Linked DNA regions of Caenorhabditis elegans. The protein of the gene in region 1 interacts with the protein of each later gene in a pairwise test. Each region holds a gene or a part of one and is shown in the gene's direction. Other genes may lie near its edges.

Evidence for each region.
Region 2: the proteins of T26A8.4 (region 1) and E02H4.2 interact in a two-hybrid assay, tested with the Caenorhabditis elegans proteins (one large-scale study listed by BioGRID).

What each region holds. Positions count from the first base shown.
Region 1 is NC_003282.8:8,428,339-8,433,365, reverse strand, and holds T26A8.4 (C3H1-type domain-containing protein), read left to right. Parts: upstream 1-1,872; 5' UTR 1,873-1,875; coding exon 1,876-2,155; intron 2,156-2,346; coding exon 2,347-2,699; intron 2,700-2,755; coding exon 2,756-3,023; intron 3,024-3,076; coding exon 3,077-3,501; intron 3,502-3,547; coding exon 3,548-3,946; 3' UTR 3,947-4,405; downstream 4,406-5,027. Other genes in the region: pdtf-1 (Permeability-Determining Transcription Factor), read right to left, coding at 1-128, 182-224; tmem-231 (Transmembrane protein 231), read right to left, coding at 4,854-5,027.
Region 2 is NC_003284.9:14,276,366-14,283,492, reverse strand, and holds E02H4.2 (MIF4G domain-containing protein), read left to right. Parts: upstream 1-1,866; 5' UTR 1,867-1,893; coding exon 1,894-2,010; intron 2,011-2,439; coding exon 2,440-2,601; intron 2,602-2,655; coding exon 2,656-2,718; intron 2,719-2,761; coding exon 2,762-2,857; intron 2,858-2,950; coding exon 2,951-3,067; intron 3,068-3,863; coding exon 3,864-3,947; intron 3,948-3,990; coding exon 3,991-4,207; intron 4,208-4,261; coding exon 4,262-5,030; intron 5,031-5,078; coding exon 5,079-5,168; intron 5,169-5,272; coding exon 5,273-5,329; intron 5,330-5,376; coding exon 5,377-5,457; intron 5,458-6,095; coding exon 6,096-6,129; 3' UTR 6,130-6,371; downstream 6,372-7,127. Other genes in the region: Degenerin del-1, read right to left, coding at 6,453-6,607, 6,659-6,783, 6,967-7,127.

The sequences.
Region 1 (5,027 bases):
AACCAAATCTTCGTCATCGTCCTCATCATCATCTGACATTGAAGCTGTTAGTTTTACATCCACAAATTTTTTTTCCGCCACTGAAGAGGTTGTTTCTCGTTTTGGGCTCCGTTCGTGTGAGTCGAGAACTATAATTTCAGATAATTTATTTCGTTTGTAAACAAACAATTTTGAAACTCACTTCCAAGCTGTGATAAGATGTGTGAATCGTCATGAAAACTCATGGACTTAACCCGTCGTGATTTTCTGTAAAAATCGATTTTCCCTGATTCGATTTATTTATTCTTAAATTGTTCAGAAGCTTGAAAAATCGAACAGTTGGCAATTTGGAAAAAAATAAAGTAAAAATAACACACGTGAAACGAGTGTTACCGTACTCCTCTGTCCCACCGGGACATGAGAGCAATGTCTGCGTCTCTGACTGGTTTTACACTGCGGAGCGGCTGCGTCACGGTCTTCAGACGCGCGGTTTGCTTCGCTTGCAAGTCGTCTCGTGTGATTTTCGAAAACATTAATGCTGGTGTCCGCCACGACGGCACTCCGGAGAATTCATATACTCATTTTCTGTTTCTTTTTTGTGGCACAAACTTCTAACAAACATTTTAGGTGAATTTGGCGAAAAAGAATATGGGAGTAAAATTAAATGATCCGACTGGGCGAAAGCTTATGTAAAAGCCAGAAAAACGTGTGCAATCCCTTGAAAATTAATTGCAGAGAAGGTGAAGAGAATTTGAAGAAATTATACTCTGAAATATTCTGAAAATTGGAGGTATTTGATAAATATTCAAAGCTCAATAAAGCTGGTAATCGCTCGGAAAAATGAACGTTGGAAATTTAATCTAGTGTCAAATTCGATTGTTTCGAAAAAATTTGCTAATTTTAGGTGAATTAGTCTAGCTATTTCCAGTTTTTGTTAAATTTGCCACGCTACGTTCAATTTCTTTAGATATTATTTTCCTTGTAACGCGCCTAGCCCAAAACGTGTTTCGTAACGAAATTCGTATTCGTAAGCCCATTTCCCTTGATCGATATTCAATGTTAGAGTGTGTAAACTGAAGAGACGCTGCCGATTAGTAGAGTTGTTTGCGCTGAGAGAGAGAAATGACGGGGGCCTCTCTTTCCACTCTTCCCTTCTCCCTCGTGGTCGATTTTGACGGGTTGCGATAGTCACTTGAGCGAATAGCAGCAGTATGACAACGCGCTTGCTGTATACATTCTTTCTGTGGTTTTCGTCATCATCAATCCTTTTTCTAACATACAAGAATAGTTTCCAAATGGTAACAAAAAGTTAAGCATAATTGGAGAAAAAATGACGAAAAATTGGTTAATTGAATTTTAACGAGTTTGAAAGATCAACATTGATCTGAAATAGTTCGAAGAATTTAAAAGCAACTGAAAAACTGAAGTTATTGATATGAAAAGACGGTTTGTTTGAGTTCCAGATTTGAGCATTCTAGACTGAAATTCCAACGTTCAAGATTCCAAGAAGCTATACATTTTTATGTTTTAAAGCTTTTCGAAATAGTTGATTTTTAATTCGAGAAAAAATTCATCCCAAAACTCTGTTCAAATTTCCTACATTATGGGCGGAGTCTGCGCGACCAATGGGCGCTCATGCCGTTTCTATCGTAGACAACATGAGAATGCTCCTCCCACTGCAACTGTGACTTGAAAATTGAGAGAACGAACTGAAATATGTAAATAATCACAAAGATCCGGAAAAGGGAATCACGGAGGAAAACATGAATTTTCATTATCTTTTTATTTCTTTTCTTGCTTTTTATTAGAGCTTGAGAAGTGAACACCGCTTTAACTTTTTATTATGAAAATCCGTAAAACCGGGTATAAATCCAATCATTACAATTATTCTAGATCATGACGGACATCATATCTCAAAATGAAAATAAAGACGATTTCGAAGATGGTGAACTTCCTGAGGACGGTGAAATATGTGATGATGAAGATGAATCTGTAAAAGCAGTGCCCTCCAAATCATCAGAATCAGCTCCAGGTGCTCATATTGCTCCAGCACATCCTGAGAAAACAAGTGGTCGGGATTCACGAGAACGAGTCAGGCGGTTTGAAGGGAATAGTCCTCCGAGAGAGCGAGATCCGGATCCGTTTGGATCTCACAATGATGCTCCGGATGGAAATGGTAAATGTTTCTCTGAATTTTTTGAAAGTCTAACGTCTGATTTGTGAATTAAATTTATCCGATCCGATAATTATCCCGGCAACTGTTTATTCTACGAAATTTAGAGTGTAACCTCTCTTGTTTTTTATTGACGCATTAATAAATGGGAATAATTTTCGAGTGCTGAAAAGGAGAAATTTAATAATTTTCAGATTATTTCGGTGGAGATAAAGACTATCGTAGCGGAGCAGCAGCTTCGTCAGAAGAAGAACCATTCAGTGATACTGATTATCGTGTAAATCGGCGGAGACGCTTATCCCCTTCCCACGACGACGGAGACTTTGACCCGAGATCAAAACGGCCATACTATGGAGGACGAGGAGGATTCCGGGGTGGCTTCCGGAATGGAGCGAAGCCAAGATTTCAAACAGAACATCAGATCTGCAAGTTTTTCCGAGAAGGTTATTGTAGAGACGGTGACAATTGTTTGTACTCTCACCAAGCCGAAGATTCACTGAGACGGCCTGTTCTGTGCAACTTTTATGCTAATAGTTTTTGTAAAAAGGTTAGTTTCAGAAAAAAAAACCAACTTTTCATTTTAAAATACTAATTCTTGTTCAGGGTCTACAATGTCTTATGCTCCATGGAGAATTCCCATGCAAATCCTTCCACAAAGGACAATGCAACCATGATCCATGTAGATTTTCTCACGTTCCCCTGACGGACTATACCCGACCAATCATTGAGAAGATTCTAGCAGACGAAGAAGCCCGGCAGGCTCATCAAGCGCAGCAGGCTCAAACATACAGACAGAATCCAGTGGCAAATGCTGCTGCTGCCGCTGCAGCTGCACAAGTAATGCCAAGAAGGAGAGTTCTCCTCCCTGGAGGTAAGCAGAAAATCGAAATCACTTTTCCATAATAATTATTCAAAAATGTTCAGGCCCTAATATGAATGGTTCATCTCCACCCCACGCAACGCCTGTGATACATGCTCCGATCCCTCAAGCATCTCATCCAAGTCAACTTCCACCACCAGCAGTTGTTGTGCCAACCATTCAACGAAACCCTGGACCAGGAATTCCAATACATCAGCAATACCCTGTTGCTCCAGCAGCTGGAGGATATTTCAATCAAGGGCCACGGCCCGAACAAGTTCAAGGACTTCCACCGCCACGAACAATTGAGCCACCTAGGCTGAGTACTCAAACTCCTCCTATAATGCATCAACAGCAACCACAACTAATGAGGCCTATGCATCCAGTTCCAATTCAACATCCACATCTTCAGCAGCCTGGATTAGTTCAGCCACCGCAAATAGTCTCTCAAGAACGACATACTGCATCACCACAAGGATTCAATTTAGAGGTAAGAATATTGAGAAAGCTTTCATTTAACAATATTTATTTTTCAGGCAATGCTTAACAAGATGGCCAATGGCGAAAAGCTCATATCAAGTCCTCGGAACAACGTGGTCGACGATTCTCCAGCCTCGCCTCCTCCGTCCAACTATTCCAGCATGTTTGGATCATCGAATCGTGTAGCAGTCATACCACAAACAGTGCAAGTCACTTGGGGACTAGTTCGTGTTCAAAGGCGACTTCCGTACTCAAATGTTGAGAACCCTGATCGTATAGCTGCCAATGATCCAAGAAGAGCCAAAGCAATCGCCAAACAGTTTGATGCTTTCAGCTCATTGCTGGGCGCTGGAGGGAATGCCGTATCAGATCCAAGACTTCGGGCACAGAAAGAGAAAAATGATCGTCAACAAAATACAATGCCATTTTCCTCGTGGATGCCTCAAATATCTTAATTTTTATTGTAATTATTCAATGTCTACTGAAAACATTAGTTTATCTTTTAAACAAAACAATTACAAGTTTAGATTCATGTGAGTGTATCACATTTTTCAATCTTTCAATTGATCTGGTCTCTTCATATTGCCTGTTAATGTTTAGTTCTTTCTTAAAGTTTTCATTTATGATTTTGTGAAAAATTTGCAAAACCTTTCCTGTCTTCAACGAGTTTATCTGGACATTTGAGGCTTTTCAAAAAAATTTTCCACTCACAGACGATACTGGTACGATCCCTGTTCCAATCCACTCCCCGAACTGCTGGCATTTTATTTTTAATCAGTTATCAAGTTCCACAAATGATGCTCACTTTTCTGATATGTGTAAAATTGTGTTTCAACCATTTATACTGATGTTTTCTTCACTTCTTTTTAACTTGTATAAGATGAGAACATATTTTGAATGAAGAATGATTTATTAAAACTTGGACTTGTTATTATATTTGAAAAAAATCATCAATTGTAGCCGGAAATGTCAAAAAGAGAGGGTGTTCCTTTCCACTGCACAGATACCTCATTCTGCGCCTCTTCGTCTCACACGCACTCTCGTTTAGCGGCACACACAAAACTTAGTTGACGGCGGAACCTGAAGAGTGTCGGCCGCGCCGTTTTGTTGCCTCAGCACACTTTCACCCTTTCTCCAGTCTTCAGTATGGGTCAATCTCTGATCTGCAACTGAATATGATGAGTTCGGGCGATGATCTTCTGTGATTACATCGCACGGCGAGGTGGGAACGCAATACCCGCCTGCCAGCCCGATTCTGAACCAAGTTGCCTAGAAATATTTTGGAAACATAAGACTCTTTTAGAGTTATTTATATGAATTACATCTTGTTGTGTTCAATTTGATGTGTTTGTTCATTAAAGCTTAACGAACAACATCGTTGACATAAAATACACGATTTCTAAACATATACGAAGTACATGAGGTAAAAACGTAATCAACAATTGTAAATGATGCCAGATATTGTATCCAAAACCATTTGAGTAACTCCCAAAACCCTGTTTTGTAGATGAATTCCATTTCTGGAACTGCTAGCGA
Region 2 (7,127 bases), on another chromosome or scaffold:
TTCTATTTACAATTACTAGACAATTAGAAAGAAAGAGACCTCTGGATTTTTAATTTTAAAAATTCAAATTCTCATAATAGACAGCATTTGTTTTTTTGTGAAGTTTTTTCCCAACAAAAGATGTACGCGGAACGTTTTCACAAATTGACATTGTTTTGTTTTCCCTAAAACCATTAACTTCCGACATGTCTCTGTTGGCTTTTCTTCTAGTCACCATCAAGACGACATAACATTTCAATGTATAAAATGGAATTAACAAATTTTATTGAAACTTCAATTTTCTCTTGTAGTTTTGTATCAAAGTGCCTAACTTTGTTTCAAAAAATTTCCACACTAACATTCAATCAAAGGTATTTTTAAACTTCGAGCTAGAAGTTTGTATTTTTGTTTCAAAATACATCATCTTACTTTATTCTTTTCTAGTTGCAAAATCCTAAAGTTCAAATGATGCATAATTGAGTGTATGCTTGTTCAGTTTTGCTGCATATTACCAAAACTAATTATGCTTCTGATTGTTTTAAGGTTACAACACTTTGAATTTGCGTCAATTGTTTTACAATTCTTTATATAGATTTTTAATTGAGTTAAAAATCACCGACTTCCGTTTTAAAATGCCCCTATTCTTACAAAAATTTTAAATTGAATTATCCGCACAATTTATTGTGTGCCATGCCTGTTTATATTACCAAACTGTCATATTTTCTTATGCACTGTAATTTTAACAATGTAAAGTTTTTCACTCGACGTACTATTTTTTTTTGAATTGCAGTAAATTTTGCAATATTTTTGTTTTTGAAAAACTGGCAACCTGAGGAAAACGGAACTGTTTTGTAACTTCAAAGAAGCAATTTTAGAAATTTGCAAAAGTCTGAATTCTAAAATTCTAGTTCAAATCCTTGTGATGTATAAATTATCCTGTCATCTTGGAGATTTTGGATAACATTTTGAATGTATCAAAATGTTAGAATCTGGTTTCTCGTGAAAAATTAAATTTCATTACATCTCAGAATGTTTCACGATTTTGATCTACATCTAATATATATAACAGGTAAACTTGTTCAAAAATTGATTTTATAATAGTTTATATTATGGGCAGCCCGTGAAGCTTGAAATGAGTAATTTAAAAAAATAAATCCGCTGCACGTTTAGCTTAATACTTGAAAAAAAGTTGAACAGTTCTATCTCATCAAATACATCTTTAATCTCTTTTTTTTTGACTTTTGCTTTGTTGCCATAAAGCTATTTCAAAATTGTACCATATGGCAAATGAATGCTTTTAAGGTTTGTTGTTGAACAAGAATATTCGTTAGCCCTCTTTTCGGAAATGTATGCGCTTACATATGATCTTTCAAAACTCCGCCTCTTTTCTGTCTGCGCCATAGCTTCTCTGTGCTCTCTTTTCTACAGTCAAATGTCTTATGCTCATTTTTTTTCAGTTGTGGATCTTGATGTCTCCTCCTTTCCGTTCTCTCGATTTTATTTTTTGCTATTCTTTGGAAAGGCGTCAATTTATTATAGGCAACGCGTGAGCTAAATTTTGAACTTTAGTATAAAAAAAGCGACGAAACAATGCGATACAAAAGCTTGTTCTCATTTACAAAACTGACATTTTACGTAGAGACTCAAGTCTTGGCAAAATTTTAATCACACGAAATTTTATAAAAGTCTGAAAAAAGCTGTGAATAATTTAGATAGCCTCGAACACATGCAGAAGTGTGCAAAACTGATAGAATGCTAATATAATGTTTGAAAATTTTTAACAGTGTGTACCTAGATTTAGTCACTAAAGTATGTGCTATGTTACAATTCTTCTATTTTTTTTTCATATATCCTTTTATTCACTGGTGGGCCATAAAAATATATCTCAGATTGATCATATTTAAATCTCAAACGATGGAAGCCAATTCTAACAGAATAAGCTTTGTGAACCCAACTCAGACCCCACAATACGGTTTAAATGAAGAATTCAAAGGAGATCCACAGTCAACGATTAAAAGTCCAGAAACGCGGGTATGTTTTTTTTCAATCTTTTGAGAGATATAAACTGTGCTTGTTTTAAAGTAAATGGAAAAAATATGAGACATGGTCTTGCGAGCATTTTTTGTTTTTGCCAGTTTAGTGGGGATGAATGTTTACCACTGTCCTTAATTTTGTGACAGATGTTCTTCCTCGTACCGCACCGGCACGAGCACTGGCCGGTGTTTTTTTTTCAAAATCTCCACTCACACTAAAACATGAATAACACCAGTTGCTTTTGTTGATTAATGCTCGATTTTCAAGTTATGCAAAAAAAAAAATTAAGGGACTTAATGAAAATGCGTGCAATGAAAATGAAAGAGTATTTTGCTGTGCTCACATGGAGATACAGAATATCATTGGTTCATCCTCACCCAAAAATTTAAAAATTTTTAATTTATAATATTTTGAGTGGATTTCCAGCTTCCTGCCAAGTATGAACGTTTTGCTCCACAGATGACTACATACTACACATTCCCTCCAGCGAACCCGGCGTTTTTCTCGCAACCGATGTATCCCCAAAGTTCGTGGATTCCGGAAACTCAAAATCCTTTAGTGTATTTTCAAGGTGCTCCCGTGGTGCAGGTAATTTAAACCAGATAATTATAAATTTAAATGTTGTTTCATGTTTGAATTCAGGATTATTCTACATTTTCATCAGCCCCATACCCATCTCAACCACCCAATAATTGGAATGTTCAGGTTCGGACTTTTATTGACACATTTCGAAATTAAAATGTTACAGAATTTTACAAGCTACCAATATGCAAACCAAAATCACCCAGCACAACTGCCACATCAAAAATACTACAATTCCGAGCAATATGCTTTACAAAGTCAGGTAAAAATCAGAATTTCAATTGAGAACAATTACGTGGCATTCCACATTTTTTAAACCTACCATAATCAGACCATGGACGGAAAATTTATTCAGCCATGTAATCAATACCAAATGAACAAGTTGTGTTGTGTATCTCCTCCTTATCAGTACCAACCAAGGACTCCAAATGCTCAAAGCTCGCCGAACCTGAAGGACCTGAATTATTTGGATGTAAGAAAGAAGTTTAATGTTTTACAATTAAATTGAATACGTTCAGTAAAAAAGTAGTGATTTTGGAAGTTATTGTAATAAAAAAAATAGGTCGGAATGAAAAATATAAAAGGTTGACTCAGAAAACTCGAAAGCTGATGCTCACTTAAAAAAAATCGGAATTTTCCTGCAATCGGCAATTTTGGCAATTGTCAGTTTTCAAATATTTTGGCAATTTTGGCGATTGTCGGTTTTCAAATATTTCGGCAATCGGGGATTCCGAAAATTGCCGAAATTGCTGATTGCCGGACATTTTCGGCAATTTTCAAACATAATTATAACTCAAAAAATGAAAAAAAAAATCACCTTGTTAGTATTTGGTTAGTCATTTTCTAATAGATAACGGCCAAAACTTTCAGGATTTAAACATTTTAAGCTTGAAAAGAAAACATCTTCTTTTAAATGCATGTTTAGACTCAAAAATTTACAAAACGTATTAAATTTATGTTCCCGGCAATTCTGGCTTCCGGCAATCGGTAATTCCGACAATTGCCGGTTTTCAACATTTTCGGCAATCGGCAATTGCGGCAATTGCCAAAACTGCCGAAATTGGCGAAAATTCGATTGCCAAACGACAATTGCCGCCACCTCTGTTTCAAATGTAATTTTGCCCTTTCCGTAAAAAAATAATCAATACGTTCATTGTTCATCTCTCCTTGAGATCGTAACAAAACTACCTAAGTGAAATATAATTTTATTTAAATTTTAACTAGTGTCAAAAAAAAAAATTTCATGAAAATCTTAATCATCTTTACAGCATTTGACTCCGTTTTTATTCCCACCGGACATTACTTCTCAATACAGAAAACATAATTGCCGAGGAAACAACCGTAACTCCAAGGTATCAATATTGATTTATTTCATTTTTGAATTGAGTTATTTAGACTAGCAATTTCCGGAGAAACGACAGGAAAAACCAACATGGCCATAACCAAAACCGTTCAAATCAAGTATCCAGACAGCATTTGCCAAACAATAATGCATCATCTTCATCCTCCTCATCAGGTGTCGTTTCCGAATTACCGCTGTCTCCTAACAAGACTGAGCTTAAAATTGTCATATCTCATGGAAATGAAACAGTTTGTGTTCTGAAAACAAAAGGTAACAAGAGTCCGATACAATTTTTTTCTGTTTTTAAATTCATCTCTCGTTCAGATATTGATGGATGCAACGCTCAACAACTTTCGAATGTTGTTGAAATTCCTATGGTACTTGCTCCCTCCCTCTCAATACAATCTACTGACTCGTTCAACTCGGCTTACGAAGATGCCGAAGAATCTTTAATTCAACCACAAACTAAAAAGAATGAAGGTGACGCTTATGGAAAATATAATTCAACGCTCACAAATTGTCAAACAAGGAACCAATCGGAGAAAATGAAATCATCGCAATGCTTGATCGCAGATGTCGCCGAGAATGAGAGCCCGAATGAGACAGGGCCTGCTGAATTCAATATTTTTTGTACTGTACCGGAACAATCTTCTAAACGCTCAGAGCCCGACGTTATAGTTTCTGCTGCAAAATCAGTTACTGAAGTTGAAAATACAATACTTGCTGAACATGATACCGCTACTGCTGAAAACTTTTCGAACAACGATGAACCAATTCTTCTTAGCGTTACTAATCTTCACGATGAAACAAATAACAAATCAATAGATGTATCACTGAATCACCCATTGCCACCTTCGACAGAAACTGGAGTTGTCAGCGGCAAAGTTTCACAATTGGAGGCACCAATCAGTACAATTGTGCAGGAAACGATCCGAATCCTCGCCGAGAGAAATCTACTCCGTGACATCAATGACTTTCATCAAGAAATACATTTGAATGTCATGCAAGAAAATATTGGACAGTCTCTAGATCATGCTGCAATAGAAAATGAGGAACATCCAGAAACTGAAAGTTCCTTTGAAAGTTCAAGCGGGTAAGTTTTTTTAAAATGAAATTTCTTACGAATATTATGATACTCCAGTAGTTCCAACCCTTCTGTCCCCATTGAGATTGATCAAAAAATGCAATTCAACAAAAACAATCCATGGGAAAAATTGGAACAATATACTCCGTGAGTTTACAATAAATATTAATTGAAAACAAATTATTATTTTTGACATTCATGAAATTCAATTTAAGTTCTGAGTTCAACCGCCATTGTCATTAAAATTTCAGACCTTCAATCATTATAGTCTCGTGCGCAGATTCTTCACAAAGCCCACACAAAGCTTCGTAAGTTGACAACGGAAGTATTTTTTATAATGCACATCATGTTTTAGAACTCTCAAAAACCCCGGTTACGGCTGCTGTTCGGGCATTGGCAAGAAATCAAAATACAATAAGAAAGTTGACAAGAAAGAGTGAGTTGAACTAATGTGAAGAATGGTAAACTTGCATACAAACCAGACTTTTAGTCCTGAAAACGATGTTACAAGAATAACATAGGCATAGCTGTTTCGGAGTAAACCCCGGCCCTGATACTGAATAGGAACTAAAAAAAATATTTTACTTATTCACTCATTTGTTACTGAATCATTAACACTTATTAAAAAACCACCTGATCATGAGAATGCATACCGTTCTGGCGCGCGAATATCTCGTAGCGAAGGCACCTAAATCTTACATTTTTGAATGATATCTCGTTGCCGCTTTTTTTTTTCAGAAAATAGGCATTCTCATGAATTCGTGGTTTTTTAATAATTAATCATTCAAATGTGGCGAAAACATCTTGATAGTTTTTTCCTTTTTTTCCTGGGCAGTTATGTTGTCTGTGTACTCTACAGGTTCACTTCTCTCTACAGGCTCACAGGCCATTCTCGAGGGAAAACCTGTCAAGATGTTGTAACGTAGAAATTGAATGTATCAACTATGTTGGTGTAATAACTACTAACTAGCATAGTTGGTACATCATCAATCTTTATGACGTTGGTCGGAAGGATTCATGGCACTACTGATTTGACGTGAAAGTGGATAACGGGACTGAAAATAAATTTTACAGAGTTCTCCACTTGACAAACTTTCAACTAAACTAAGCAACGGAGCTGTGCGTTTCATTCTATCTGTTTTTGTGTTTTTTAGCTCATTCTCATTTTCCTGTATTCTTCAATTACTTTGTTTGTATAATTTTCGTTTAGCAAAATTTGGAATCCCAGTTCGAAATCCGGCCACACAAATCTTCTCTTCAACATTATGTGTATTCAACAGCAACCTTTCCATGTTTTCTCTTGAATATCAACTTTTTACGGTCAAAGTTGATCAAAATAAAATGTATCTTCTTGTGGATTTTTTATGAGCCCGAGTAGACTGTTTGAAAAAAACCTGTTTATTCACATTTGAATTCCACAGAGATCAAAAATCAATTATTATTTGTGGATACTCCTTTTTCCGCATCATTCAATTCTTCAGCTCGTAATAATTCCGTTTTCTGCCTCCATCTTCTTGGCTTACATGCAATTCCAAGAGTTCGGACAGCGAAGAATAAAAACTCAATCACGCTCATAATGCTTGCGCCTGAAAAATTCACTTTTTGAATTGCGAGTTACTCAAATTGTTTAAAATCACCTAAAAACAAGCCAGCTTGGCCACCCATATCGGCCATCAAGTTGAACCAAGAATACGACTCAGATTCTCTCAATATCTCATAGCTCATTTGTTCATAATAAATTTCAATCATTGCGGCGTGTTCTCTGAAAATCGATTTTTTGTCATTAACTGTCAACTAATTTATTTGAGAATAAATGTATTTTAGAAACAAAACCATTTTTCAAGTTACATGTTATATCCAAAAATTCTTTAAAAAAATGTTTTCTGATATTTGCCGAGACATGATTATTATCAGGTTTTTACATAGAGTTTAAAACAGTGCAAACCTTAAATAAGAATTGCAATCTTTTGAATGATTGTCACACGATGTTTGTATACTTCCGCTCGGCCACTTTGCTGCTGAATACGTTGTTGTGTATTGATCTTGCTGGCATGGCTGAATACATTTGCAGTGCTTCTGATTTTCTTTTGTTGACAATTTGGCACC